Xenopus tropicalis: one gene and its partners. The protein of the gene in region 1 interacts with the protein of each later gene in a pairwise test. Links are inferred from orthologs where the notes say so. Each region holds a gene or a part of one and is shown in the gene's direction. Other genes may lie near its edges.

What was found.
Region 2: the proteins of dcx (region 1) and mid2 interact in binary tests that used the Homo sapiens proteins (3 or more experiments, as listed by UniProt). The two-hybrid records come from large-scale screens. The link is inferred for Xenopus tropicalis from reciprocal best matches to the Homo sapiens genes DCX and MID2.
Region 3: the proteins of dcx (region 1) and mtus2 interact in binary tests that used the Homo sapiens proteins (3 or more experiments, as listed by UniProt). The link is inferred for Xenopus tropicalis from reciprocal best matches to the Homo sapiens genes DCX and MTUS2.
Region 4: the proteins of dcx (region 1) and rint1 interact in binary tests that used the Homo sapiens proteins (3 or more experiments, as listed by UniProt). The two-hybrid records come from large-scale screens. The link is inferred for Xenopus tropicalis from reciprocal best matches to the Homo sapiens genes DCX and RINT1.
Region 5: the proteins of dcx (region 1) and zbtb5 interact in binary tests that used the Homo sapiens proteins (3 or more experiments, as listed by UniProt). The two-hybrid records come from large-scale screens. The link is inferred for Xenopus tropicalis from reciprocal best matches to the Homo sapiens genes DCX and ZBTB5.

Annotation. Positions count from the first base shown.
Region 1 is NC_030684.2:51,648,181-51,654,096, reverse strand, and holds part of dcx (neuronal migration protein doublecortin), read left to right. Parts: intron 1-3,690; coding exon 3,691-3,793; intron 3,794-5,916. UniProt on the Homo sapiens protein: Microtubule-associated protein required for initial steps of neuronal dispersion and cortex lamination during cerebral cortex development. May act by competing with the putative neuronal protein kinase DCLK1 in binding to a target protein.
Region 2 is NC_030684.2:40,258,735-40,265,256, reverse strand, and holds the end of mid2 (probable E3 ubiquitin-protein ligase MID2), read left to right. Parts: intron 1-4,544; coding exon 4,545-4,953; 3' UTR 4,954-5,256; downstream 5,257-6,522. UniProt on the Homo sapiens protein: E3 ubiquitin ligase that plays a role in microtubule stabilization. Mediates the 'Lys-48'-linked polyubiquitination of LRRK2 to drive its localization to microtubules and its proteasomal degradation in neurons.
Region 3 is NC_030678.2:154,662,868-154,668,783, reverse strand, and holds part of mtus2 (microtubule-associated tumor suppressor candidate 2), read left to right. Parts: intron 1-2,797; 5' UTR 2,798-2,973; coding exon 2,974-5,055; intron 5,056-5,916. UniProt on the Homo sapiens protein: Binds microtubules. Together with MAPRE1 may target the microtubule depolymerase KIF2C to the plus-end of microtubules. May regulate the dynamics of microtubules at their growing distal tip.
Region 4 is NC_030679.2:77,077,529-77,083,444, reverse strand, and holds the end of rint1 (RAD50-interacting protein 1), read left to right. Parts: intron 1-198; coding exon 199-336; intron 337-685; coding exon 686-885; intron 886-1,157; coding exon 1,158-1,372; intron 1,373-1,905; coding exon 1,906-2,086; intron 2,087-2,161; coding exon 2,162-2,280; intron 2,281-3,360; coding exon 3,361-3,583; 3' UTR 3,584-3,978; downstream 3,979-5,916. Other genes in the region: efcab10 (EF-hand calcium-binding domain-containing protein 10), read right to left, coding at 4,064-4,106, 5,500-5,581. UniProt on the Homo sapiens protein: Involved in regulation of membrane traffic between the Golgi and the endoplasmic reticulum (ER); the function is proposed to depend on its association in the NRZ complex which is believed to play a role in SNARE assembly at the ER.
Region 5 is NC_030677.2:109,092,950-109,099,401, forward strand, and holds the start of zbtb5 (zinc finger and BTB domain-containing protein 5), read left to right. Parts: upstream 1-2,274; 5' UTR 2,275-2,772; intron 2,773-5,767; exon of another isoform or gene 5,768-5,964; coding exon of another isoform or gene 5,965-5,966; intron 5,967-6,452. UniProt on the Homo sapiens protein: May be involved in transcriptional regulation.

The DNA of each region.
Region 1 (5,916 bases):
AAGGAAAGCACTCCTAGGATTTAAAGAGTTGTGAGCAAAATGTAAATGCAAAAATAGAAAATTTATTACTTGACATTTTGGTCTCACACAGAAACTTTCCAGATGAATAAACCTTTCCATTTTTGCATTTACATTTTGCTCACAATTCTTTAAATCCTAGGAGTGCTGCCCTTGTTCCAGTATATATATTTATTTATATTTGCAAAAGGAGAAGAACCCCTTACTTACCTAATGGAGAGTCTATTACAATTTACATGAACACACATAATGAGACAGATGAGAAGGAGTTAAAGTACTTTGCCTTGGTGCCAAGTATGATATCACTCTCCCCAGTCAGTATCCTGGCAGTGGGTAATTACAGACAGCAAGGCAGGCAGCAGTGGGTATAATTATGAAGATAAGGATACGCATGTGGGTAATACTTGAACCAGCAGGTCTCTCCTTAGGCCACCAGCTTCAGAGACTGGCACAATTTTTCAGACCTAGGGTCAGCAGCTGTTCATTTAGTCAGATTAAATAAACTGTAGATGCCCATCCTTAAAGGAGAAGTCCTGCACTACACAACTATAACTGTACTAGTTGTGCATTCTCACTTTGCTTTTTTAATTAATAAACTGTTCCATAGAAATCAAATCTCCCAAACTGCTGTATTCAGCTCTTCCCCTGGCATCATGCCTTAAACAGGTGTTTTGTTCTTACCAGGGGAGCACACTAGCAGTCGCCCTGTGCTGCTACTCTCCTACACAGCTAATGTGCATGTCATTGGCACACATGGTAAGGGCAGGTGGGGAATGGAAATCAGGTTGTTGCCTATTTTGGGCTTTACTTAACCAAAAGGGCTGGGAGGTTTAATTTAGGGGGACTCACTGCCAAAAAAGAATAGGGAACAGATAACACTTACAAAGTGACTTCTTTAATATCCCCATAAATAAATAACAAGCCAGACAGTGAGTAATTACCAGTCTCCCCAGAATGAAGCACCAAGGGACACAGATGCTTATATAGTGTGTCTGAAAGCCTACAAGGCCAATGCCATAAAATGACTTGGCAAAGCAGTGTCTAATGATTGTACCATACCCAGGAAACACACAGTAAGTGTGTCAGTGGCTAATTATAGCCAGAAGCACATTGCAGAGTGAGACAATGGCTGATTAATTGCAATAACACCAGAACATACAGCAGGACAGGCAGCGGCAAGAAAACAGGTGTATAATGCACTAGAAAAACAAAGCAATGTGTAGCCTGATGTAATATACACTGTACAAGAATATTAGAAACAAATTCCTAGATCTTAAGCTTTTGGACATGGCCCCATTAACCTCTTTGTGTGTAGGTCCTACATTTCAGCAATGTCTGTCCCCCAAGGTAATCCATTTAATCACAATTCACAACCTGTAACTTGAAAATCCTTGTGTGTGTCTTCCCACTGATATTGTCATTGCTCTGCAGTGGGCCAACACAAAGTAGCATTTGATAATAGCAGATGCTCAGCTGCAGTGTAATCTGGGCCGATGGTAGATTCTATCCAACGTAAATGAGGGAGGGTGGTAACAATTCAATAGGAAAGGCGTAGCATTGCTCCTCATGATTGCTCTCCTATTGTTTGTGACAGGCCTGCTGTGATGGGAGGTCCCCTATCCAGCCTCTCTTTGTTTTCCTAACTCTGACAAAATGTGCACTTTTAGATCTCTCTGCCTTTAGGCTGCTGGGGACGTTACTATAAATACACAGTATAATGAGCTGATGAAATTTGAATCAAATTAGTAGCTTTCTTCCCCCAGCAAATAATCTGTTATCAGCTCCATTCCAAGCGCCTTGAGACATTTCTAGCTGGCGTCCTAGGGAGGCGTTTAAGATGATTAACTCCTCTGGTGCTAATACCAATTTCTTTCATCTAAAACCTTACCTGGCCATACATGTAATGATCAAATCGTACAAAACCTAGTTTTGTATGATTTTCAGACCGTGTGTGGACTCCGAATTATCGCCCCAATAATTTTCGTATCATGGCGATCAGTGGTTTAGTCGCTTCGTTTGACTAACAAAAAATTCTGCAAATGTATTGTGTATCATGTGATATCCTTGGGGGACCTACAGTGGAAGCCACTTTCATATGATTGGTGTCTGCCAACTATTTCATGTTCAGAACATCCTCCAATTTGTATTTTTAGGGCTTTATCTTTAAACAGTTTCAGTTTGAATGTTAGTTTCAGATCTTTGCATTTAAACGCATGACTGATATCCGAACATTCATTGGAAGAAGACTAAAATCTGAATTTTGGAGTTGTATGGAGTTAGAGTTGTATGTACCTCCATGTATAAAGTCTGTGAAAGCTATTATATCTAGGGCAGGCTTTGGCAATCCACGACCCCGTGACCAAACAACCAAAGGCCATAGGCTGTCCACCACATGCGCAGGGCATTGCAAAAAGACTGTAGACTTTGCCTGAAGAACAAGAATTATGAAGTGCTATAACGTTCAGAACTAATTGACAGTCTATGGCTATGGAAATCTGGTGCTGTAGTTCAACAAAAAGAGCTGAATGCTAGATATTCCTCAAGGTTGCCACAAAGACAGTGTGAGCACAACTAGCTCCTCCCTTGATAAGCGTCCAACACTGTCCTCAACCTAATGAGACAAAAATATGTAAAACAAGAACATGAATCACTGCCTCACACAACGGTTTGAGCAGTACAGTGCATATTCATGGACCTTGGGTCATGATACTGTATTACGTTGGTGAAATTTGGGCAGTTCGGGACATGGCATGTCTGTGGTTCAGAGAAGGACAAAAATATTTCAGTTTTCCAGTCAGAAACATAACTGGAAAGAATCAGAGCTTTGTAGCACAAATGTAGCAAAGAATGATATCAGTGTACAGTCCCATTTTTCTCAAACAATGGGTCAATGGGCTGAAATGTAACATGTTCTTGGGTCAGATTATATTAAAATGATACTATCATGCTGATAGTTTATTTTTTAAGTATTTCTGTTTCATTTTTATTGGATATGTTTATGTTGGCCTTGTCTCCCTTACTCTAGCTCTAAATCCTTTAGTAATTTAGTTGGTTTCAGATGAGGGGGTCATTTACCAACCTCATATGGGATTGGTGGTACAAGTTGTGTTTTTCAGCCATGGGAACCCTGTACTTAAGAAGGAGGTAAGTACAGGGCTCTCCAGTGCCTTGCAGCCCCTGGCCATCCCTAGCCTGTGTATCTGAATGAACTATCCCCCCCCCCCCACACACACACACACTGTACCCTCTGGTCAGTGCTGTTGAATGCAATGTTCCATCCAACTGAGGAACAGGTTAGGCCAAATACATCAAACAACTTTGGCCAGATTAAAGCATGGCAAAACTGCTGCTTTGTGAGATAAACCTATCCCTTTAGATTTTCCTATTAAAACAGAAAGTGACACATATCATGTAAGGCAATTAGTTTTCCCATAACAACAGTAGAAAGATGTATCCTCTCTAACAGCACTAGGCTTATGGTGAGACAGGATTCATTACTGCTGTAGGAATTCTTTCCTGCCATAGGAGATCCAGTGCCCGACACTGGTCTGGAGAAAATGAAGCTGGGCTGTGTCCCGCCAAGATACGTCATAGGTTGCAGGGCTGTTGCAGCATTGACCCCTGTCATAGTTATTAAACTCAAAACTAACATTGCCTTTACTTATGTTACAGGTAACCTGTCTGCACGATTTCTTTGGGGAGGATGATGTGTTCATTGCCTGTGGCCCTGAGAAGTTTAGATATGCACAAGATGACTTCTCCCTGGATGAAAATGGTAATGTCAAATGGGATTAGATTGTGGCAAATCCTTGTCGAGGCTATGTAGTATAAAAAGCTCACTCATGCGACCCTATGCTTTATACCTGTAGCAGATTGGAAGCTCTTTTCTTTGTTTATAATTTGTTTCTGTTCAGTCACACTGTTTGTATTCTTCTCAGAAAATGCTGGTGCTTTTTATATAAACTATAATAATAACTACAGCATTATTCTAAAGTTACATCAAAAGAAAATATATTTAGTTACATTTTGTGAGGGTGACAAAGGCATTGCTATGTGTCTTTCTATTTTATAACCATAAGAATTAATGGAAGCCTCCTGGAGATTAGCCTTAGGTAAGTTCATTATGGTTGAGGGACAGAGTGACAGTGAGGTGAACTGTAAAATTCAAGGTTTAATAACAAATATAATTGTCAGGAGGTTTTTTTAAGCATCTTGGCAGAGGTTTGTTGTTTATTTTAGATGAAGCATCTGGCAGAATATTGAACCTTAGGAAAATATAAACTTCATCAAATTCTGCTCCATATTTGATTCCAAATCTATTTTATACATACATGTATGAGTAGTATGTCTGTCCTTAATTATCTCCCTCGGTAGCCACTTGATATATTTCTGCATATTATACACGTACAGGGAATGAACACATGGTGTGTCTGTACCCTTCCAATGTAACACCTTTTCTCTGTTGCTAGGACTCTATGGCTAATGGCACACCTAATGTTTCTCTACCAGCAACGAAATGGCAAGCCCCCACCCCTTGTGTCCAGTAATTGATCCCTTGCGACAGGCCCAAAACTGGCCAGATGTGTATTTGCGGTAGAAAACCACCTTAACTATTGGCATTAGTGTGAATGACAGGAGGCAAAAGGGGTATAAGGGCATTTCTCCACTGAAATTCACTGGGAGAGAAACATTTGCCATTAGCCTTAATGTGTGCTAGATTATCACTATGGACAGTGAGTCATTCTCAGCGTTTCTTATTTCAGCTCTCTATAAATATTTAGTTTGCCGATCTGCTTAGTCAGAAAGATCTGTTCGAATCCATTTGCAGAACAGTCATTTGCTTGGCAACCAATTCATTTGATACAAACTCAATTGGATTCTTTTTCCACATCCTCCCCTGCAGTCGTGCAGCTAAAAATACACAGATTGCGCTCACAGACATAGTGGATATGATGTGGGTTTATGTAATGAAACAAGGCCATTCCTCGATTTCAAAACTTGGCACTGCGCGGATATTTTACATTTTGCCTGACTTCACATATGTGGGGTGGGGTGCCCTCATGGCCCAGGGAGAATACAGAGGAAATTGATTTTAGTGTGCATCATTTTACCAAATATGATGATTTACAGCAGGCTTCCCTGAATCACCTGATACTCAGTGCTGTACATTTTCCACTTAACTTGCATATTTGTATTAAAGGGGAAGTTCACTCTAAAATTAACATTACGTTTGCAGTTTGTCTTTGTTTTCAATTATTTCACTTTCTGTTCTCTAAACTAAAGCTTTAAATGCCTATAGTTGCTATGGTAATTGCTAGGGTAATGTATTTTTTTGTGTCTCTTACCTTTAATTTATCTATCAGTCTGTCATCTGTTTTGAATTTCAAAAGAATGTAGAAAATAGAAATAGAAAACAAAATTTAAAAACATTCTGAAACCACAAAAAAGATGAAAATGTGCACAGTTATTTGAAAGGTGAACATTCCCTTTACTTCAGCTTAATGACAGCTTCTACACAGACTGAATCATTTCTATAGCCCAGGGTTGGAAGGACACTGGGAAAAAACCTGGTAGGCACCACCAACCTAGGCCCACTCACCTAGGACAATTACTGACACTCCCCAGTCCAGAGCCACCCCCTCTCGCCCTATCACAGCTGTAAGTTAAAGAGGAGGAAGGAGGTAAGAGGTATATTTCACAGCCTGGGCTGGGGGCCCTTAAGGTGGAAAGGAGGGCCGCCTGTATGCGGTAGAAAAATCAAGAAACTACATTGCGCCCCACTGATCTATGAATTTCTGGGAGGGGGCAGCAAGTGCAGGATAGTGTGTATAGGAAGGTATATTGGGTATAGCTGTGTATCAGTGCTGGGCAGTGTGCGCCCTTTAGCTTCCAGTTGCT
Region 2 (6,522 bases), about 11 Mb from region 1:
AATAAGGTTTTTCTATGACATATAATAGGGATTCACATTTTATTAAATGAAGTGTTGGGGGATACTCATGCCGGACCCGATTTTAGCGAAACATCTGGATGTTTTTTTCTAAGTAAGCCTTCCCTGTATAAGCTCCTTGCACTTGTGGGGAGAGCCAATGCACCTACCCTCCTCCTCTAATGAATAGTGGACACATAGCGACAGTAGGGATTGCTACTTGCCTGGATGTGGCAGTTGTTCCATGGTTCCACTAAAGGGTTATGTCAATAGCTGCTACTGACTTGCACCAAGGGAATTGCTCACTGTAATTAATGCTGTGCATGTTGTCCCACAAGAAGGGATGCCATGGCCAATGTGCTGGAATGCTGGGGAGAAAACACTGCATTGTGGGGGAAAAAAATGCAGATTTATTTCCAAAAAGTGCACTTTGCACCATTAGCTGCATTTGGTAAATATATCCCCCCATCTAGTTACACCAGCAGATTAGTTTATTCTGAGTCTTAATTCAAATAGCTATAGCATAAGTCACTTTGCAGCTGCTGTTTCATGGCACATATAAGAGCTATATATTTATAAGCACAATAAGAGGTAAAGTAGATTCAGTTTGTGCCCTTTTGGTGCTATTAACTTGTACCTGCTCTTTAACACTTTGCAGCAAGAGCCAATGCCCTATTCCTAGCAGCTTTGCAACTACCTGTTTATCTATTTATTTGTATTTGCCTTCATCTTCTGCCTCTTCACAGCTTTCTAACAGGGGTCACTGACCCCGGCAGCCCAAAATCTATTGCTCTGTAAGCTCATAATTTTATTGTTATTGTTTCTTTTTATTCCTTATATTCCTGTTCATTCGATCTCCTTTTCATATTCCATTTTTTTTAATTCAAACCACTGCTTGGTTGCTGGGTTAAGTAAGAACCTAGCAACCAGATAGCTGCAGACATACCAAACAGGAGAGCTGCTGAACAAAAAGCTAAATAACTGAAAAACCACAAAAAATAAAGAATAATTGTAAATGGGAAAAAAATATCAATGTCTACTTCATGTTAAAGCTGAATTACCCCTTTAATATGCACTTATGAAAGTTCTGCATAATTCCGCTAAGCATGATCTTTTTTATTTAGCCTTAACTTTAATATTGTTGTGCTCTGTGCCTTGAATATCTTTTATCTAAAGTTCCTTTGTATAGACTAGTCCTTGGGCTGAATGTGTGTGGGTTGGGTGGGGGAGTTGTTTTGGCAGCAGATAAAAGATAGAAGTAGATAGAAAGTGAATAGAATGTAATGTATATTAAAATACAAAAGCTGGATAAAGTACCAGTTACAATGTAGGATTTCAGATGTATGCTGTTCATTCAGTAAATAGATTATAGTATAAGGGTATAGCATAGCGGCGTGATGGGCAGATTGCTCCTTGACATATGGCTTATAATGACTCAGAACTGACTGTAGACCTTAATGGCAACAGTGATAATCACCATGAACAGCTTGAGTTTCTCTGCTTCATTCTATAAAAAATATATGGCATCCTTATGCATTAATTCAGTTTTACTGAGAGGGAAGGGTCTGTAGGCTTTTTCTTCATACATTACTCGAAAAAAATAAATGGACAATAATCATTCCCCTGTAAGAGCTCTGTATAGTCATTTATTAGATTGGGAACCCATGGGTCAGCCCATCTCCAGTCTTCTAGTTATGGCTGTTTGTGCATTAGTGGCCCCATGCCTGCATCTATTTATTTGCCTTTACGCTAGGTCAGCTTCTCAGCTGCCGATGAGCCCTGTGATCCATTTACTTCAAAGCCAACCCAATGAAGGCTGATAGCTGCCGCAGTATTCTGGGGAGCTGCAAATGTACCCTTAGTTATGTATTTAGGTATAAGAGGCCGCCCGCTGCCATATCTAAGCTGGGTGCAACCTGCTCCTTGCTACTCTCTGTATTATCAGTGCAGTGTAGCAGGAGCAGGTTGCCCAGGGGTAGGGTTTCCCCCATCCAGCAAAGTGTTTAATAGTTGATGCCAATCCCATTTAATAGGGAAGAAAGGTAAAATAGGAAAGGTTCCAACGTACGCAGGTGCCCAGGGGTATAAATAACAGAGACAGGGTCCTCACTAAAGGAATTGCAGCTGATTTCATGCCTATGGTTTCTGAGGTGGGGGTGGCCCTATAAAGAATTTGCTTTGGGGCTCAATAACATCAAATTACGCCGCTGCACGTTAAATCACTGAATGCACGTCTGAGCAAGTTATTATAACTTTTAATGGCCCTGTGTGAATCCTGCACTCTCCCTCTCCCCCCCGGGTCCTGCACTATGTGGTCAGTTGGTTCCTGACAACTCCTATTACAATGATGCTGTCGGCTCGGCTTTAAAATCTCACGCTGATTCTGTTTAACATGCAGCGTGCAGTCCTCAAACATTCATTTTTAATAAGGTACATAGCACTTCAGGCTTCCTAAGCGTAAAATTACCCCACTCCTTTCTGCAGAGGTGTTGGTAATGTTCAGGTTGCAGCAGAAAAAATGTGTTGTGCAGAGTTAATAGAATAAAAAGCCACCAGCAAAATCCTTGATTTGTGCGGACATATTACCCAGAATCCCATGCAAGTGACAGTGTGCGGTTAATGCATTTTTAACATTGTTGTGCATTAGTCAGGGTCTCGGCACAGATACGCAGAGGCAAAACGTTTACTTTCTGCTACCATTAAATGACACTTAAGACAAATCTCTTCTCGTCAAATAAACAGTGAATTGATTTGCTTTTTCCTCTCATAATTAGATTAACGCAATGATTTCAAAGGAGGAAGGGTTGACATATCGGTCAAAGAGGGATGCACAATGCATTCGGTTATTATTCTGCTTGTTATGACAACCTGGAAAATGTTGTAAAATATATATATATATAAATAAATTACATCACTAAGCACAGATATAACTGATGACATTACCAAGCACAGTTTTAAGGATATATAATTATGGCTCTTGTTTATTATATATCGCTTTTTTACAATGTCGTGCAAGGGCTCATTTTTCAAAATAATGCTCCTCCTGTCTTTTTTTGCCTTCTTTATTCTCCTAGTTTACCGTATTTTGCGTGACTTTTTTGTCGCTGTTGGGATTTTTTTGTATTGAGCGATAGTAAACGATGGAAAAACCAATCCATTTTTTTTCGCAACGGCGACGAAAAAAAGTCGCAAAAATACTGATCATTATAAAAAAACGCGTTCGGATGCTTTCGATCCGTTCGTGGATTAGTAAATCTGCCCCATAGTGTACTATAATGCACTTGCGTCCGGGTCTGGCTGCACTCTGCACCCCATGCCGGATAGGGTTGCCACCTTTTCTTGAAAAAACTACCAGCTTTCCTATATTTGTATGCTTTTTCCCTGTTAATAACATTGGAATGAAGAATCATTTTTTCCTGGCTAGGCTGGTAAAATAATGGGCAGGTGGCAACCCTAGCGCTGGATTGGAAATCTATCACTAAGTGCAGATTGCGTTGGTGTTGGACACTGGGCAGCCTTGTGTAACTGTGTGGCAGGACGCCTACTTGCCTACACCCGCCCATCATGAAGGCAGCAGTCTGTTCACAGGTGGAGATACAGGTCTTTGTGCTCCGTTTTTGTGTGCAGAGACCTATTACAATTTTTTAAGTTTCAGAACAGGGCACAAACTGCAAAAAACATGGGTTATTGTGTGCACCCTGCCCTGCACTTAATAAATTACCCCAAGAGGATCATCTGTCCTTCCCTTAAGTTTTTTTCCCCTGTTTTGTTCTCATACCGTAATCTGAACTGATCATGATATACAGCATACAAGGCCAAATGGTGAGTGAAGGGCTGAGTTTTTCTTGTATACTGGTGGGCCTATGTGGTATATGTAAATTGTCTTTTCATAGCACTTGTAATAGACATTTTAGCTTCCTGGATCTTATAGTGTCACCTTATTTGCACCTTTGTTGAGGAACTCTGTTTGCATTGAAATACAAGAGTCCTTATTGTCATGTGTTTACACTGGGCAAGTAAAATTGCTCGTGGGTATTCTCCCACACACCAACATATCTGCCTTGAGTGCTTATTTTTTTTTTGGGACACTGTGTTTGGTATGTACAGGTATCAGATCCCTTATCCAGAAACCCGTTATCCAGAAAGTTCCAAAACACAGAAAGGCCATCTCCGATGGACTCCACTATAAGCAAATAATTCTAATAATAAAACAGTACCTTGGACTGGAGGCAAAACAATCCTGTTGGGTTTATTCAATATTTAAATGAATTTTAGCAGACTTAAGTTATGGAGATCCAAATTACAGAATAATCCCTTATCCGGAAAACTCCAGGTCCCAAGCATTCTGGATAACAGGCCCCACACCTGTACTATATTATATGTTTTAATATGTTTAAAAATGATTTTGTAATTATACACTACATTTGTATTAAGGGAATACCCCTCCATCAATTGTTTCAAGTAAAATGACTCAAATATAAAGACTGCAGCAAGGAGCATATATGTTCTGGTTTCGCCTTTTTACATTTGTTTTTCTCCCCCTCCAGGTATGCAATAGGAATCGCCTATAAATCCGCTCCAAGGAATGAGTGGGTTGGGAAGAATACCTCCTCGTGGGTCTTCACTCGATGCAACAATAATTTTCTTGTAAGACACAATAACAAAGAAGCTCTTCTGGATGTGAATCCTCAGTTGAAACGTTTAGGTGTTCTCCTAGACTATGATAATAATACACTTTCCTTCTATGATCCAGCCAACTCCCTCCACCTGCACACCTTCCCCATCTCCTTTATTCTCCCTGTGTGCCCAACCTTCACTATATGGAACAAGTCTGTGTTGATACTCTCAGGACTCCCTGCTCCGGATTTTATGGACTCCTTTATGTCTCAGCCGCAAGAAACTATATCCAGACCTCAGGAGTCTCCCTATGTTTCTGGGCTTAAGGGTTGCCAGTAAATGAGACTTCTTCATCCCCAAGGACCAACTTCAACATGGCTCATTCAGCAAAGGACTTGGATGGGAAATCTAGCCCCAGGGAACAAATATATCTGTAGTTTGTTCAGTACAAAGACTTCTTCACTCTTCTTTTAATTCAAGATCAGAAAGTAGCTCTGTGTATTTTCTTATATAATGGCAAGCAGAAAGCAAAAAAAAAAAAAAAAAATTACACTGTATTTCTTCCAGGTATTATTTATATTATTTCCATACAAGCTGACCTTTAAATAAACCTTTACTATGTTAGAGAGAGACCTATTATAAGCAATGTCCCAGTTGGTCTTAATTTTTTTTTATTTCTTCCCATCTGCTGCCTGGTTGCTAGGTAAATAAGCTCTAGCAACCAGATAACTGTTTAAAACAGATGCACAACAGAAGATGTAGATAATTCAGAGGGCCAGTTGCAAATTGTCTTATAATGCATGGTCTGAATCATAGTAAAAGTTCATTTTAAGGCAAATTTCTCCCCTTACGGTTGCAAACAATCTTTGTTGCAAAATGCCAGACTTTTCAGCCACCTTCCTAGTTCATTTAAGGTCTTCCATCATGTAGAAATGTTCTAGAAAGGACCTGTGCTTAGCCTAAGGTGGAAGTGTTACTGTGACACAAGTGCACCTACAATATAGGGGTCATTCACAATCTGGCATTTTTTTGCACTTTATCAACTGCGTTGGTCATTGTGTAGCCACTGGCCTCTGTGGACTGCTGTTTGGATTAAGTGCGACCTGCATTGGGCATGTAGGCTTCCTCCCCTCCCGCTCCCTATCTTGCACAAGCACATTACATAAGTGGAAGAAGCTGCAGCTTGCTTTGGGACGCCGTACTTAACGCCTGCCTAAAGGGCTGGGCTGCATCTCCTGACACTGCTTTCTGCATGGAGCACTGTATTTCTAAGAGCTAGAGAGATACAACTGTGGGGACACAATGCTGTTAAATGAGCACAAACACATTATAGGAGCCAATGGGGCTCCACTGTGAACCACTGAATTAGGTGTGACTTGAAATCAGCACTTCCATGCAAGTAAATATTTAATGGGGAATGTGGCGGCAGTCGCTTACCACCACGTACATTTTATGGCTAGCACTCAAAAATCTTTTTCCATTAAAAGACACTTTATTAGATCATCTCAGTCCATGGATGCTAAATTTGGTGCAATGATTTTTGTTTTTGGCCTGATCCAATGGTAGTTAAAATACAATAAATTATAGGAAAGTGGTACATTGAGCTTGACACATTTGTTGCACTGCTATATACAGTTTGCCTTGTTGCTGTTCCTGATGCATTGATGTCTAGTTTGTGGCCAACAAAATAGGTGTGCCTTCAAACATTACTGCTATTGTGCAAAGGCTCAGGGGAGATTGGCGGGCCTGTACATTCAGTCAATGCTGGTGTTATGCTAAATGCTTAATATTGTCCTGCACCCCACGTGGGGGCATAGTGTTGCCAAGAAAGTGTTTATAGATACTCCTGCCTATCTGGCTGCATCCATAGAGGAACACTGCCTGACTGACAGGTACTTGTCTGGCCCC
Region 3 (5,916 bases), on another chromosome or scaffold:
TCCATTGGATCCCGATGAAAGTCATGTCAGTCTGTGTGTGTCTGTAGTGGAAAAAACTAGATTATTTGGGCAGGAATTTACATGAATGCTGAAGAATCTCCACACATTATATCACCTTTATAAAGAATAAAATAAAAACAAATTTCTGGCGATTTGGAGGTAATTACCTAGTTTAATGGGGTGCATATGAATGTCCTTGTAGGGGAACACATAGGCTGGTGGAAAGTAAAGTGAAAATATTTGTGAGTTCAATATTTACCCCCAAAAGTCAGTAACTGCCATATCATCCTCCCTAACAGCTGGCCAGTGTGCCCATTTCTACTTGGATTCTCAACCCTTACTTGCTAGCAAGATGGAGCATCTGTGGTTGGATCCTTACTTCATAAAACTTTGGCTGCTCCATATTTCAAAAACATTCACTTACACAGTAGTCAGTTGAAGCCCTGAATTCTCATTTCACATAAGTAATAGAGTCATTTGCATTCACCCCACTAGGTTTATTAATACATGTAGTGGTCCCCTTTGGGTGGCCATTGCCATAAATAACACACCAGGAGGTGGGTATAAAGTGTCAAATTAAATGAGTGATCAAGTGTGAGGCTCATTGGGCTTTAAAAGACATTTCTACATGTGTATGAATTATGTGTTACAATACATATATATTATTTTGTGGTGACAACACCACCAGGGATATTTGCCAGATAAGCAAACAGCTGCATGTTACAAAGTATGGCGTCCAACTTATTCTCACATTCCATTATATTGATTTTTGGCTTTACTAGAGGCTGGAGGAGGCAAGGCACTATCATTATGGCTATTGAGCTTGATTTCCATGAATTTTACATAATTGTAAAGTTTTGCTCTGCTGCAAAGTTAATATCATTTCAAATCATTGCAGTGTGAGGAAGCCATATTTATAAACAGAATGTATCAGCCATATTATATTTGTATTCATGCCATGGAGTAGGATCAAGCCCTATAAAGAAGTAATCATCATACGCGCATAATGTACTAAGCAGTCTCTTCAGAATATAAATGGAAGGCTAACCCCACTTCCAAACAGTGTATATTTTCCATTTGAACATTTTGAGGAATGCAAGATGTATAAATATGTACTGGCTCTAAAAATATGATTGCGTTTTTCAGCTTTTGCCTTCAGAATGTTGTGCACCTAAGTGTTCTTTGAAGTGAATGTGTTCATAGGAATATAAAGCCTACTTCAGTTCAGTTGGTCCCTTAGTGGCCTGAATCAGGATTCTCAGGGCTTGTGTCAGCTCCATCCAGTGCTGTAACCATGTGCCACAGGCACCATTACCCCTTTATAGCTGAGACCCCTGTGGAATTGTGTTTGGTGCATGATATGATATCTGTAATTGAATTATTTATGTTGGCCGTGTAGTTAGTCCTTTATGTTACAAAAGAGATGTAACATCTTGGTGGAGTCAGCACATAATCATATGTATATGGTTACTCATTCCTTTGCCAGTTATAAATCTAAGCATTGTTCTTTTTATTCACTCGTTACCAATTAGGAGGGCATTACTATATGGTTATTAATATAAAATTATTACTATTTATTAGGTTTGTTGTATTCCCTAGGACAGTTATGACACCTTCTAAATAGTAATATTGATGCAATAACATGCCACTATGTCACTTTTCTAAAGAGTTATGAGTCTGCAGTGAAGAAAGTAAACTGATGTTTTTCCTAACAGAACTGAACCTCCCTTTGGTATTTAGTGTAGGGTAAGTCCATATAAAGCATTTAGAATTTTCATAAATATTAGGTAACGCAACAGAATAGCCATGGATCCACCTGTATATGTATCAAGTTCAAGGATATTTTACATTGCTATCCACCACAGCTCTCCCAAGAGAGTAAATCTTCAGTTATTTATTTTGTTAGGTAAAGAAGCTTTACTGAATTGCAACTGGATTGGTTCTTAATGACATGGCATGGGTTATATGGCTCATTAATATGTGATTTATTTAAGAAATAACATTTCTATATACCTGTTCTTTACGATACAGGTATATGGGTGCTGGAAGGCAACTCTGAGTTCCATGACCTGGTCATAGAACTAGTCAGTGACTTCTTTCAGTAGGGTTTATATTTAGCATATCACAGTGAAAAGAAAATCCTTCAAAGTTGGATCAGCAATGTATTTGGGTTGGATGCAGCCCTATGCGGATTCAGTCATGTGAAGTCTGTGCCAAATGTCAAAAACTTTAAAGAGTAGGGCACCCCCCTCAGATGAGAGGATTTTTTTAATTTAAACAGCTTTGTCCCCCTTAATCCACATCCAGGGTTACTCCCCTAAAGCTGTTACCCTAGACATGAACCCTCGGGTGCTGATATAGAAAATACATTCCAGTTTGAAGGTTGAAGGAGCAGGAGAAAAATTTTGGTGGCAACAAGAGGGAATGGAATTGTTGGTAGAAAGTGGGGTAGGAGGCAAATAAGTAGGTGAACTTGCTCTGGGAATCAAGTCCATTCTATAAGAGATGTTGTTTAATGAGATTCCAACATAAAATCATGAGAATATGCTTTGAAATGTTTGTTACCCTTTGTACTATGGCAAAAACTTTTAAAACACATCTGTTTCCCTTATGGAATTATGTAATAAATGGTGCCAGGGGCAGTAACTCATAGCAACCAATCAGCAAGTAGCATTGACTAGTCACCTGTTTGAAAACAAATATCTTATTGCTTAGTACCTTGTATTACATGTTGGTTAGTCTTTTATATACTTATGGAGAATCTGTACACTTACATAAATATTCTTCTCTTTTACAGGCTCACACATGCAACATGTTGCACTGAGGCCAACAAAGCCATAAGTCAACGTGGACAGAAATTGAGTTGGCACTAATGTTGAAATATGACGGCAATTTAATAAGTTACATACTAATACAACTGTCTAGAGGTGACACAATTTCAATCTGTGGTACTTATGAAACTGCTATTCCAAAATGAGCACACCTATGGTTTCAAGCAAGGAATGTTCAACTGGAAATTCCATTAACAGCAACCAAGATCAAGTTGACAACAAAAATGTGATCAGCTTAGGTGATAACAATGCCAACCAAATATACCCAACAGGGAAAACTCAGGTCTCAAGCAGCATTAAAAAACCAGGGGGGTTGTCCACATCACAGTCAGATCTTTCCCAGTCATGTGAGGAGCACAGTACATCGCTCACCTCTGGTCAGGATTCTCCATCTGGTGATCAGCCGTTGAGTGATCCAAAGTCACCATCCCTGATAGAAAGAGACATTAACAAACATTTTGTGACTGATGATGCTAAAGGCAGTTTAAAAACAACTGGAGCTTTTGATGGACATTCAAAGGCTGATGGACATTCAAAGGCGGGTGTGCTTGACAGAAGTTTGGTGTATCCTCAGAGCAGAGTTAGTGACTCTTCCCTCATTATGTGTAGTAATAACACTGGTAACCTATCACACAATGAACAGGTTAAAGGAATTTCCTTTCTGAAATCAGGTATGGTATCGACAAAATCAGAAACTTTTGCTAAAGGTCGTATTTCACCAACGCCATGTTTGATCTCCCCACCCAAGTATTTACAGATGCCAAATCACGGGATTAGGGCAACTAATTCATCAATACCAGTTGACCATTTATTTGGATTCTCTTCCCATACACACAGTTGCGGCTCAGAGGAAAAAAAGATTGTACTTTGTTCCAGGTCACCTACCTCAGATGTCCCTGAATTATCACTAGGCGAGGGAGCCTTATCAAGTGGTAATAAGCCAAGCACACTACATACCAGTCCCACAAGCACTGACCATCATTTAAGAATCCCTTCTAAACCTCAGGTAATTTTTAATATAACAGAAGCACAATTATATCAGGGTCAAACACAAAAAACTTCAGAAATTTCAGATTCCAACTTATTACAGTCTAAAAGAATTTGTCGGCACAAACAAGACCAGAGTACGATGACTGCAATTTCAGGTACCAAGACAGCAGGCAATATTTCCGAATCCAGAACATCTCCAGTTTCAAATCTTTATGCTCCGTTGGGTCATGTAGATATGTCCCAATGTTACAAAGTCATAAACCATGAAGACAAGAGTTTCGGTAGCAGCCCTAAATTATCTCATTTTAGTCTAGCACATAAGAAGCCGGATGAATATGCATCTGATATGGGGAGAGAGCTAAGCACCAAGCCTCTTATACGAAAAACAACATCACTCAGCGATTCCCTGGATAATAAACCACTTCTACATAAAGACAGAGGTTCACTTGAAAGTTTTCTTTGCCAGGACAGTGACAATAATTTTGTTTTAAGCAGCAACATGGCTTCCACAAAGGATAAAACGGCTTTAGTTGAGAGCAAAAAGGCAATTGTCGGGAGAAAACATCAGTCAGATGGTTTAAAAGGCAGCATGAAAGACAGCCAGAAGGATCTAACTGATACCTTTTCATGTGCTCCCATTTTACCAGGCCTCGTGACTGCAGTAAATATTAATGATCAGTGCATTGCCTCACCGAGCAGCTCTGTGGATCTTAATGCTGTTCATGTTGACAGATTGTCACCTTCCTCAGTTCTGCCACCTTTTGATGGTACACAAGTCTTAAACATTTCCCCTAAAGCCACTAACAAATTGCTTTGTAGTAGTGGAATTCCAAAACCAATACTAATACATTCCAAGCCTTGCCTTGCAAGTAAAGCTGATACGGACACCAATGACAATGAAAAGCCAGAAGAAGCACCTGAACCAATTCTAATCATCCCTAAACCCAAGCATGTCCGACCTAAGATTATTACCTACATTAGAAGAAACCCTCAGACAATAGACAGACTTCCATATGGTCCAGTAGGCATGCCTTTTGGTTCCCCTGCTTGCAATGTTCCAATGGCAAGAGACCATGAGGTCTTAGGCAGTGACATTAATGCTTCCAATGTCCTACTAGATAAATATAAAGCAGACCTGCAGAAACAAAGAATATATGCCGCTGGTTTAATGGTGTCTGGAATAAGGCCTCCTGGACATCATTTTGGACAGATTAATGAAAAATCAATAGACGAGGTAAGTGTTCAATGAATGTTCTTGTCCCCGGTGTCACTTTTGATCTCTCTTAAAAACGTCCATTTTTTTAATATATTATTATACCAATCATTATTTACAGAAGAAAAGTTTAATCTCTATTTTTATAGGTTTTTATTTAATCATTTCCTGTCCTTGATAGTCTTGATATAAGTTTTGAGAAGGGGGAGCCCTGAACATACTTTGAAGCAGAAGAATTTTTGAACCGAAACCACGAAAAACCACTGATCTATTGTCTAATAGTTGGTAACAGTAGGGATGAGAGACATTTTTCATCTAATACAGATTTCTTTGTGAGTGCCTAAAATGTTTACAAATCTGGGCTTACATTTTGCAATGCGATCTACTTTGCCAGTGAAAAAGTTGCCGAAACACCACTTCAGGGATGGAGCCCATTGACTCCAATGCATTTGGCTACATTTTGGTGAAATGTCACTTTTTGTGAATTTTTCTGTGGTTTTGCAAATATTCCAGCAAAGCAAAATGGGGCAGTTCTGCTCATCTCTAGTTAACAATCTTGCCATTCAATAATACCTGTATCTTCACACCCTAATGGGCTCATTTACTAACCATCAATTTTAGACTTGATTTGAATTTTTTTTTTAAAAAGTTGCAGAGAAAAAACACTGATTTACTATGCATCTAAACGGCTAAAAATCCAAATTGACAATTCTTGCAGTTTATGTAGAAGTCGATGGCAGAGATTCCTTCCCTTTCCTTAAAGTTTTTTCTTTTGTCTCAAAACTTTTGAGATTTTACTGGGTTTTTTCTGAAAATATGGATGCACCGAAAATAGGGATGCGCCGAATGTTAAGGGATTCTCCCGAATACCGAACCGAATCC
Region 4 (5,916 bases), on another chromosome or scaffold:
TAAGCACATTTTTCGGCTTATACTCGAGTATATACGGTATTTTCTTTTGGTGAAATTAAATGTAACTCCTGCAGTTGTTTCCTACTTTTGACTTGTAAAATGAATTAAATGTTATTTAGCAAGGGCGACAAAACGTTTGCATTGAGTATCATCTTTTCAAAAGTTTAAAATGTGTTTGTTGCATCAATGTTTTTCTAGTGGCTCTAGAAAAGATGGATTCCATGCTGTCTGCTGAGGCTGCCTGGACCTCACAATATAAAGATATATCTGATGTGGATGAAATGAAGGTTCCAGATTCTGCTGAAACATTTATGACTCTCCTACTTGTTATCACAGGTAACTCAAAGGCTGTCCCAAACAGTGCTACCTCAGTCTACTTCTTTTCATGCTAGGAGAGCCCACTATAACAGATATTAATTTATCACCCAGTGACCAAATGCTACTTTGTTCATTTAACTATAAGGCTTATAGCACATGAGCCAAAAAAACTCAAATAAGCTCTCTTGCAACCTGTTCATGTGAATGGAATCTAATTCTAATAACATAGATGTGGCATATGAAATAAATGAGATCCTTGAGCATTGCTACTATGTATTCAGACTTTTAACATGCAACTACCCATAGTTCCTCTGGTGGCCCCACTTATTATAATGTTGATGGTTGTATGAGCTTGTGTTTTTTTTAGACAGGTACAGAAATTTGCCCACAGCATCCAGAAAGCTAAAATTCCTGGAGCTGCAAAAGGACTTAGTTGATGACTTCAGGATACGTTTAACACAAGTGATGAAGGAAGAGAGCAGAGATCCCCTGGGCTTCAGATATTGTGCAATACTCAATGCTGTCAACTACATTGCAACAGTTCTTGGAGATTGGGCTGACAATGTTGTAAGTAAGACCCATACTATTAATTGCCGCCACTGGGGCATACTCAGTCTTTTATTCCTCCTATCCACACATCTTGGAGAGATGAGATGGAGGGGTAACAGTTATATGTAGTCTGCTTTAGGCATTAAAACACCAAGACAATGTAGCTAGACTTGTGTGACCATTGCTTGTCTGCATTATTGTTCCTTTGTCACTTATCAGAATGCAGTGCTAACTTCCATAGCTCAAAATTTAGTTGTGCCCTTGCCCTAACTTTCCTTCTGTGTTTCCAGTTTTTTTTACAGCTTCAACAGGCTGCTCTGGAGATTTGCACAGATCTCAATGCCAGCAGTAAGCTACAGCTTGGGCAGCTGGCTTCCATGGAAATATCTGTCTTCGATGACCTGATCAACCTTCTGGAGCGTCTAAAAAATGACATGCTATCTCGTCAGGTAGAACATGTATTTAAAGAGGTCAAGGAGGCTGCAAGAATGTACAAAAAAGAAAGGTAAACGTAAAACCTTCAGATTCTAATCTGCACTTTCTAATATTCTACCACTAATATGGCAGAGCAAAAATTTTAATTCTTACTGGCAAAACTAAAAAAAAATATGCATTTTTAAGACTCAGTTCATAAACCATAAGAAATCAAATCACCTGGAAAATTTCTGTTCCCCCCAATTCATTTTTTTTTTTGTTAAAAATTTTCAAATACCTTTGTCCTTTAGTAAATACAAGTGTTTGTGCATTGACCATTGCAGTGTTACAAGAAGTTATTACAAAGCAGTACCCAAAAAATTATTCAGGCACTGTGATACCCCTGCTTTGTAGGTATTACAATCTACAGTATGTCTGGTAACATAAGCATGTTAAGTGACCTGCAAAAGCCATGTCAACAAAAAATCAATTAGCTATAGATATTACCATATCTATCTGTATTCTTTTTTATCAATAGCATGTAAATACATTTTTAAATCTGATAAGGAAAATGATTGCTGCAGGTTGTTGCTAAACTGACCAAAATGTTATTGGTTGTTGCAGGTGGCTGTCACTGCCTTCACAATCAGAACAAGCTGTCATGTCCCTGTCTAGCACAGCCTGCCCAATGCTTCTGGCACTGAGAGACCGCCTCTTGCAAATGGAGCAGCAGCTATGTCATGCTTTGTTTAAAACTGTCTGGCAGATGCTTGCTGAGAAGTTGGATCTGTTCATTTATCAGGATGTTAGTACTCATTTCAGCTGAAACATATTTGTACTGTATAGGCACAACTCATTTATTGAGCTTTATTTTTCTTAGATAATCCTGGCAAATCATTTCAACGAAGGGGGAGCAGCACAGCTACAGTTTGATATGTCACGGAATCTCTTCCCTTTATTCTCTCACTATTGTAAAAGACCAGAGAATTATTTTAAACAGTAAGTGATTACGCTCTATAGAATGTCCTTTCCTGTTGCCTGGCCCAGTTACAGCATGCTGAGGGATTTTGCAGGGCTGGTACTGTGGTGCCATGGACACTAACTAAGAACATTAATGTGGTTGGTTCCTAATGCTATTTCATGCAACACTGATCCTTAAAGCTTTAACTTCAACCCAAACATATATGTTTGCAGTACAGGATTGGGGGGAAAAAAGGTATTCACAGTTCCTGAATTTTATTTACCAGGAAGTAATTACAATTGGATATTTTAATAATATAGGCAGGAAACATCTTTAATTTGAATACTTACTGGGACTGATGGAGAATACAATCATGTACCTCCATATCAAACCAATAGAAAAAAAGCAGAAAGCAAATATTGTGTATTTCATCACAATTTGCCTTTATTCTCACAACTACTATTGAGACTGAGAATGAAAGGTGCTATGATGCTATATTCACGAGGAAGTGCGCTGTCACAAAACAATTAAGACCTCAAGCTGTGTTTTTTAGATGTGCAAATAAAGGTTGATCAATTTTAATATTAACTGTTGCGGCTTTTTATGCTTACCTGAAGTGCACTGCCAATGTGTGAAACTTTGTGACATGATGCTACTGGTTCCCCAAACAAGTCCAATACTTAAAAGGGTAAATATAAACCTGTGTTCAAAGTAAACCAGGGCTTATATTGGGAAATTGTGGTTAAGTTAATATGAGCATTTCTATTTTGGCGCATATTAAACATGAGGATATATTCTTTACAAATGTTACTGCCAAATAACTGCAGATCTAGCCTCCATGCAGAATTAAAGCGAAGACTCATGCATAAATATATTATATATATATATATAATTTTTTTTTTTTAACCATTTTTGTTAAGCTTTTCCAGAAAAAAGCCATGTTCATCCGCATAAGTTAATTGCTGTCCCTACATAATCGTATTTTCAATATTGTGTCTAAAGGCCCATAATTTGTTTCTTAAAAAAGAGAAATCTTCATAGCCAGGTGTTTCTGAATTCTGCTTTTTTGGTAGTGTGGAGAGATCTTCACATTCATATATATTCTGCATCCCCAACAGTGTGAAAGAAGCCTGCATCATCCTGAATTTGAATGTGGGACCAGCCCTGCTGCTAAAGGACGTTCTTCAGACTGCCAGTGAGAGTATGAATGCATGCAGTTCTAACGACAAACTCCCGTCTTCAACAGCTGCCTTGAATGAACTTGGGATCTATAAGCTAGCGCCACAAGATGTTGAAATTCTTTTCAATTTGCGAACAAACTGGCCAAATGCTGGAAAGTAACACTTCCTGAAGTTTCCTTTACATTGGTCAAGGTACATTGTACAGCTGTATAGCAACTGCAATGTGATCATTAAAACTCTACATTTTTACCACTGCCCGTTAACTACTAGCAATTCTTTACAGAGCTTACAGAGTATCATTCACATCAGTTCCTATCCCAGTGAAGCTGGCAATATAAGGTCCTTATCACATTCACTCAATACACTAGGGTCAGTGTTATCAGGAACCAATTAACCTACCAATATATTTTTGAAAGTGGGGGGAAAAAAACATGCCAATCTGGAGAGGACATAAAAACTCCTTTCAGATGCAAGAATCAAATATAATATCATATTGTTAAAATCATCTTTTTTTTATTTTGCAAAATAATAATAATAAATTCTTTTAAGGTTTAATTGCTGAATGTTATCTTTAACAAAATACATAGACACAAATCGCAAAAATACAAGTAAACAAACTGAAAGCTATATAGTAAAGATGCTAAGATTTAAATGTTGCGCAAGCAGATTTCAATTGGATCCTCCTGCAGAGAAAGAAAATACAGTAATAAATTCATTATCCATAAGAGAACACTAATCATAATAATAAAAATTTGGCCTGGTGGGGGGGAAAAAAAATAAATACTTGCTTCCCCGATCTCTCCCATGCTCTAAAATAATTGTACAAATGGTGACAGGACTGTGCGCTTCAATAAATACAGCACACAGTCCTAGCATCTTCCACCAGTGGTGTATGATTTTAGGACAGCCTTAAGTGTGGATGATAGCAAATACCCACAGTAAACTCTCTTGACAAATATTCTAAAAATTCTGAAGTGTCTGAATTCTATAAAACTTTTCAGCACCCAAACACAGAACCTATTCACTTTTGTGGCTTTATGTGATATTATTGGGGACCATATTTTATCTGAAGGGTGGTTGTTCAAAATGACAATATATATATATATATATATATATATATATATATATATTTCCTCTGGAGAGAATCCTCCCCCAGTCTTTTTAAAACCAATCTAAAAGACTACCTTTTGGAGCACTCACCCAGCACCTGATCTGGGAAATAGCACTTATATTGTAATGTCACCCACTGTGACCTACAGCACTTATATTTGCCTATTTGTGTCTGTAAGTTACCCTCCCATATAGATTGTAAGCTCTACGGGGCAGGGACCTCCATCCTCTTGTGTCTTAACTTATTGCAACTGTATCTTGTATTATTTGTATTTATTGTTATACTTTGTATTTTTTTCTACTATCTTATTAACCCCCTGTTTGTATTAATGTATTCTACTGTACAGCACTGTGTACATAAGTAGCGCTTTATAAATAAAAATATACATACATATATATATATATATATATATATATATATATATATATATATATATAAATAGTCACATTTAAACAACCACCCTTCAGATAAAATATGGTATTTTTATTGTATCGCCCTGAATACATCAATACTTCCTGCCCCTGATATTATTTGCCAGTTAGTAAAACTTTATCATAATATTAATGTGAACTAAATGTGATACTAACACCAACAATCTGCTTCCCTTAAAGCAGAAAAAAAGATTAGCTGTATTGACTACTATTAGTTATGAAATCATGTATATATCATATGAAATCAGTGATACATTATGTGACTAACACAGGTCCAATACACTGACAAAATATATGATTTCATAATTAATAGTAGTCAATACAGCTAATCATTTTTTTTCTGCTTTAAGGGAAGCAGATTGTTGGTGTTAGTATCACATTTAGTTCACATTAATATTATGATAAAGTTTTACTAACTGGCAAATAATATCAGGGCCAGGAAGTATTGATGTATTCAGGGCAATACAATAAAAAGGGAAAAAATGATATGTAGGCTGAGAAATACACTGAAAACTCATATTTACAAGCACTTACATGCCATGTTTAAAAAGCTCCAGTGTAATTTTCCCTCCAGGTTCTTCCACATTTCTAACATCAATGCCCAAAGTTTTTAAAGCTGCAAGAGAAAGCAACACAAGATCAAGAAATTCTCAAAGCCAAATTTAATAAGACTTTAATAAGCTTTTGCATATTGAAAAACTATCATTCTAAGCAACTTTCCTGTATACATAAATGACAAATATTCAATGGTTATTTATAAAGTGGTGTTGCTCTGACTTGTAATGATGTACAGAAGTTCTCCATCAATTAATTAGGCTGGCCTCTGTTTAGGGATGCACCAAATCTGCCTACCATAGAGCATGATAGATAGAATCTCCAACTTGCGAGACAATGTAAGGAGAACCTTGTTATTTTTTCCAAGTGCCAGAAAATATTTTACATTTAAAACTC
Region 5 (6,452 bases), on another chromosome or scaffold:
GAGATCTCAACATCTCTGCTGAGATCTTCACCCAACCCCTGACCCAGGAATTGGAGCATGCTCAATTGTTCAAGGCTTTCTGCATTACGAATCTTAGTGATATCATAACATCAAAGATGGTGAATGTGAACATCAAAGCACCCAGAAAAGCAATTAAAAAGGATAAGCAAAAGCATTTCAGGAGGCAGTGAGGGGGTACTAGTAGGTAGAAAATTATATATATTTTTTTCTAATCATTTAAAGCTGGTTACTATATACATGGAGTAGGTTCTCGCAGTGCATGCATGGGGATTAAGAATAGAAGTGATAAGAAAATTAAAAGTGTAAAGCTAAAGTCACATTAAGCATTAGCCCAGCTCAGAAGCATATGTGCTCTCTTCTGCAGCTGTGTGTAGACAAGTACAGCTTCAGCCTGAGCGCAGCTACACAGAGCGCAGATGGCCCAAGCTGCAGAAGAGTGGATCTGCTTCTCTCCGCCTGCCCATAAAATTCAGGCGGAAACAAGCAGAGCTGACACTTAAGGGGGTGATTTAGCAATGTTGGAGTTTGATTTTTTTTCAGAATTCAAGTTTTCTAACACCAAAAATAGCACGATTCGAATTGTGGTTAAAAAACTCGAAATATATTGAAAAAAATTGAAAAATATGGAGGATATTAACAAGTGTATCACAGTGTGACTTCTGTCATGATGCTCTTACCAGAATCCTCTGTCTTTTTGCCTTAGGATTGTTGTCATCTTTGTTGCTGTATAAAGTGAAATTCACACTTTCAGGGGACTGGATAGTTCCATTGGAAAACTGTACTGCATAAAAGGAAATTGGGTGATTAAAACATTATTGGGGATGGGAAGAACATTTCTCTTATATTTCTGGCATCATGCAGATACATTTTCCTACAACTTATTATTTTATTCAGGTGAAAAGGTTGTGATATAATTGGTTAAGACCATCACATCATTAAGAGCAATGGCCTATGGGGAGATTAGTCGCCCGCAGTTCATTCCAGGTACTGTGTGCGACTAATCTCCCTAAATTGCCGATGGAAAAGCAAACTTCGTTTTCCAAAGCTGCACAAACTTTTCTGCAGGAGGAATCTTTGAATAACTTTGTTAAAAGGCAGCAACGTGTATGCCTTTCCACTGACGATTCACTTTATTGCAGGAGGAAAGGCATTTTAGGGAGGTAAACTGCCCGAGGTAGAAGAGGTTTAGGGCAGTGGAACACAGGGAGATTAGTGGCCCGTGATATTTCTTCACTATCGTGGGCAACTAATTTCCCCGACATGCCATCCCGCCAGCAAGAATAAGAATCGCTAGTGGGATGGTATATGTATCGCTTCGGTCGCCTGAAGTTGCCTCACAAGGGAACTTTGGAAAACGGAAGCAATGTGTATGCCATCCCACCGGCGATTTACATTCTTGCTGGCGGGATGACATGTCTGGGATATTAGTCTCCCTGTGTACCACTGCCCTTAACCTTGGACCAATAGTCTCCCTGTTGAACATCAGCCATAAGGGCTATGACACACAAACTTGCTGTGGCTACAAAAAGTCAGAAAATATCCTGCCATAGACAGCACTGAGTCGTCACTGCTAAAACACACAGAGACAATTATCAGTATTGTCTATCTTGTAGTTGCTACAAGTAGCTCAGTGTGTCATTGTCCTGGGGATTATGTGGCTCATTTTTTGGTCCCATGCATAGGTCAAGAATCCCTGCCTACAGGTTCAGCCTTGGAAGCTACAGCATTCCATAATGATGGCACCGCTTATACGTATTAAATAAACAAGATCAATTTAACAAGCATTAGGGATACAGTCTCAGCTCAAAATGTTGTAAGAGAGAGGACTGACCAGACGTATCTATGCGCAGTCCCTTACCTACTAAAGCTCCCTTGCCATGTTGTGGGGCGCCATGATATTCCCATGTAGCTCTAGAAGCCATAGTTCCCCGGCCACTTCTCGGCACCCACGTGTGCACCTTGTTGTGCAGTAAAGCACTTCCCGACTGCCGAGTGGGAGGAGCCGCGGAAAACAAGCCCTGTTAACAGTATGACCCTATGTATCCGTGCGCTTAGGAATTGTGAGAGCGACACCTACAGGACAGTTCTATGTAGGCGTTTCCAACGTGCCAAGCGCCTTTGTACATACTAATGTAAGTCTCCGTGAGGCGGAGAAAAAGCGACAACTCGCTCAGTGGCCTGAACTTCATTCACTCCCACTGCCCTGTGTGTGCCAGTCTGTAGGCATGCGCAAGAGTTATGTATGAGTGAGCGCGCCTGACCGGATAACAGTGCTCACAATTACGGACGCAAGCGCCTATTGGAGTTTTTTTCACTCATAATCCTAAATTATTATGTTCTGAACAAGATTTTATTCCAGACGTGACTGTCAGCGAGACGTGCTTAGTGCCACACCAGGTTGAAGCGAGGGAAGTGAGCAATCTAGTGGCGACGTCCCCCCCACCAAAACGCGGGAGCGAGCGTCTCCTCCCTCTGACTGTCAAGCGGCGGCGGGTTGGTAGACAGGAACAGAGAGGTTGTGGTGTCTGCAGCACCTCCGCCTGTCTGACACTGTGTCTCCGCCCTCCCATAACTACCATCCTCGGTAGCTTTACGTCCCTTCTGTCTGCTGTGCCTCCGCCCGGTCTGCTCGTCACGTCCGGTAGCCTAAGGAGGCCGGGATTAGTAGCAGGACCCCGGGTAGGGGGAGCGGTCTGGCAGACACAAAGAGGCCGCGGCGTGACCGAGGCCTGGGCCTTCAGGCACAAACAGGTGAGGGGGAAAACTGCAGGCTCTCTAAGTGACAGACCCTTTTCAACTGGCCCCGTACTCGTAGCCACTTGTTTGTATAATATTTGCCTTACCGTGTGAATTAACTAGGCCTTGCAGCTATCCAACTACAACTACCTGCAATCGCTGATGGGTTCTGTGAGCTGTACTTACACGACATGGGGAACTCTAGCTTTGTTTATGTGTAAGGGAAATGTCTACTTAATGAGAGGGATTGTCACTTGTAAGTATAATGTATTAAATCAAATCTGTAATGCACAGTATGCAAGGACTCTCATTCATAGAAGTTGGGCATGCTGTGCATATCTAACTAGTTTGTACTGCATACTTTGTGGTCATAAGCATTTCCTTTGCAATGCTGCTCTTGTTGGACTACATTTCCCATGATCCTACTGCTGGTGGGTGCTTAATTATGCTGCTTAAGTCTGAGTGTACTGACTGGTAGAGTGTGTCAAAATGCTCCACACATTGTGGTTAAGGCTATAGAAGGTTTTGCTTTTCATAGATGCTTCCCCATTTCATGTGTCTCTTAAGGTGATTTAGGGGCAAAATGCAGTCCAGTTATTCCCCTTTGGGTATGGATTACTAAAATAAACGCCAGGGAAAATGCCCAAGATCTCACCATGTGCTATTGCCCTTCGTTCTTTACCATATTTACATACTGTGTTTAATAGCGTTCACTTGAATCATGCAATTGTGTGTTTTAGATAGGGGCAATTTAGGTGAAAATTGCCCTGGAATTTGACAAAGTAGTACTTCTTAAAGGAACAGTAACACCAAAAAATGAAAGAGCTTTAAAGTAATAAAAATATAATGCACTGGTAAAACTGGTGTGTTTGCTACAGTAACACTACTATAATTTATATAATAAGCTGCTGTGTAGCCCCGGGGGCAGCCATTCAAGCTGGAAAAAAGGAGAAAAGGCACAGGTTACATAGCAGATAACAGATAAGTTCTGTAGAATACAGTAGTGTTTTATCTGTTATCTGCTATGTGCCTGTGCCTTTTCTCCTTTGAATGGCTGCCTCCATGGCTACATAGCAGCTTATTTATATAAATTATAGTAGACTTTCTGAAGTAAACACACAACTTTTACCAGTGCAGGGCAGCAGCACATTATATTTTAGTTACTTTTATACATTTTTATATTTTGGTGTTACTGTTCCTTTAAACACCTAGGGATTGCTCCTCAGTGGCTGACACTTGCAGATGCTGCGGCATTTATATAAGTACTCTCTGACTTACTGACTTGTCTGTCCCTCATTGTACTTCCATATATGAATTCCATATAGCAGATGCACACTAGAGACTATACACAGTTATTCCTAAGAACAGTGTTTTCTTCCAAGAAACTGCAGATACACATTTAGCCTTTTAAAGTTTTAAAAGTTCTGGTTACTACTTAGATGGGAAAGTTTTACAGATTATTGGATCTGTTATCTGGAATGTTTGGGACTTGGGGGTATTTTTTTAGATGAGTCATTTTATAATACATTTATTTTAGCTTTGATATTATCAAGTGCATGGCTCTGTTCTATTATTACAGAGAAAAAGTAAACCACTCAAAAATGACTGATTTGTTTAAAGGAGAAGAAAGCCATAATCACTAGGGGGTGGCATTTTTTAGCACCTCACAGTGATTGTAATTGTTTGAGACCCCAGGTTAGTGCTTCCAGTAATTGAAAATGTCACTGGTTTTGGGTACTACTGTAGAAGCACAAAATCCCTGTCATTTTCTTATCGTCTCTATGACCAGGGTCTGGGAGCACAGTAGAGGAATGAGCAGAACTAAAAAGCTAACCTTTTCACTTTGGGGCTGGGATTCTGTGAGAAATGGCATTGCTGTATTTCAGAGATTTCTTGATAACGGGCTTCTTATTACATCTGTTTTGGTTATTTGAATACAATGTTATATACATTTTAATAACCTTCTAATCTTTCCAGTTATAGTTGTTGTTTTTACATTTTTCAACAAACATGGTTTCTCACAAAGCATATAACACCCATGGTTTCACCAATTGCTATTGGCACAATGGATGTTTGACCACCCTAGTCATCCAGCAAATATTGAGGTGCTACTGCCCTTAAAGTGCCGTGTCTGAAGCACACAGCATTATCATTCAAAATAAAACTTACTTAAGCATTTTACAGGTCAAAATGCTCAATTGTCATTAGCATAAAAGTGACAACAAACAAACAAAAATAAACTCATCAATGTGTACTCTGTGCCATATATAATAGTAAAAAAACACAGATCAGAAAGTATGAATTTATAAATAAAGTAATGAATGCTTGACTGAGAGCAATGATGTTTTACACTTTACAGTGTAGTATAAAGAGAAACAGACTGGTCCATTAAACTGGACACAGTGACAAAGAAGAAGCATGATGGCATGTGGCGAGATACACAGAAAGCAGCGCACAAACTTGCTCTAACCAGCAAGCCTCAAGAAAAGCAAATACAGGTATGGGATCCATTATCCGGAATCCCATTATTCAGAAAGTTCTGAATTACGGAAATGCCATCTCCCATACACTCCATTATAAGAAAATAATTCTAATATTTAAAAATGATTTCCTTTTTCTCTGTAATAATAAAACAGTACCTTGTTCTTGATCCCAACTAAGATATAATTAATCCTCATCCTCAACAATCCTATTGGGTTTAAATGATATTTAAATGATTTTTTTAGTAGACTTAAGATATGGAGATCCAAATTACGGAAAGATCCCTTATCCGGAAAGCCCCGGGTTCTGCGCATTCTGGATAACAGGTCCCATACCTGTATAACATTGTATGCATATTTTTTATTAATAGTGATGTTTTATTTTAATTTTGTTACCTGTTTGCTAAGAATGAAAATGTCACATAAAGAGGAATTTAATAAAACTATACAGTATATATTGCAATTATAAAACATTACCCACTTTCAGACCAATGGTTGCAATAGGTTTTTCACATATGTAATCACCACAGATCTCTGTTTCCGGTGAGAAATCTACTATCTCCACAGCTTAGGCTTTGCACTGACAGGAGGATGCACCTGCCAGGAATCGCTGAGCGGATATTTTGCAATGTGCAACAGAGGAAGCTCCATCTGATAAAGTGCTTACCAAAAATCTGATCTGTAGTAAGCTGTTTTTTCTAAACCAAGGGGGTATTTCATTATTAGGATGTAAGTGCTATAATTTAGAAAAGTCAGTACAGGTATGGGACCTGTTATGCAGAATGCTTGGGACCTGGGGTTTTTCAGATAAGGGATCTTTTTGTAATTTGGATCTCCATACCTTAAGTCTGCTAAAAATCATTTAAATATTGAATAAGCCCAATAGGCTTGTTTTTTCTTCAATAAGGATTAATTATATCTTAGTTGGAATAAAGTACAAGGTACTGTTTCATTATTACAGAGAACAAGGAAATCAAATTTAAAAATTGGAATTATTTGCTTATAGTGGAGTCTATTGGAGATGACCTTTCTGTAATTCAGAACTTTCTGGATAACAGGTTTCTGGATAATGGATCCCATACCTGTATTATAAAATATGCACTGACTGTCCTTGATCACTTAACAGTTTGAACATGGTTTTAATTAATCATTTTTATTAAAGTGTCAGGTTGCAGGAATTAACTGGCAGTTACAGCTCGAGAATGACACATTAAT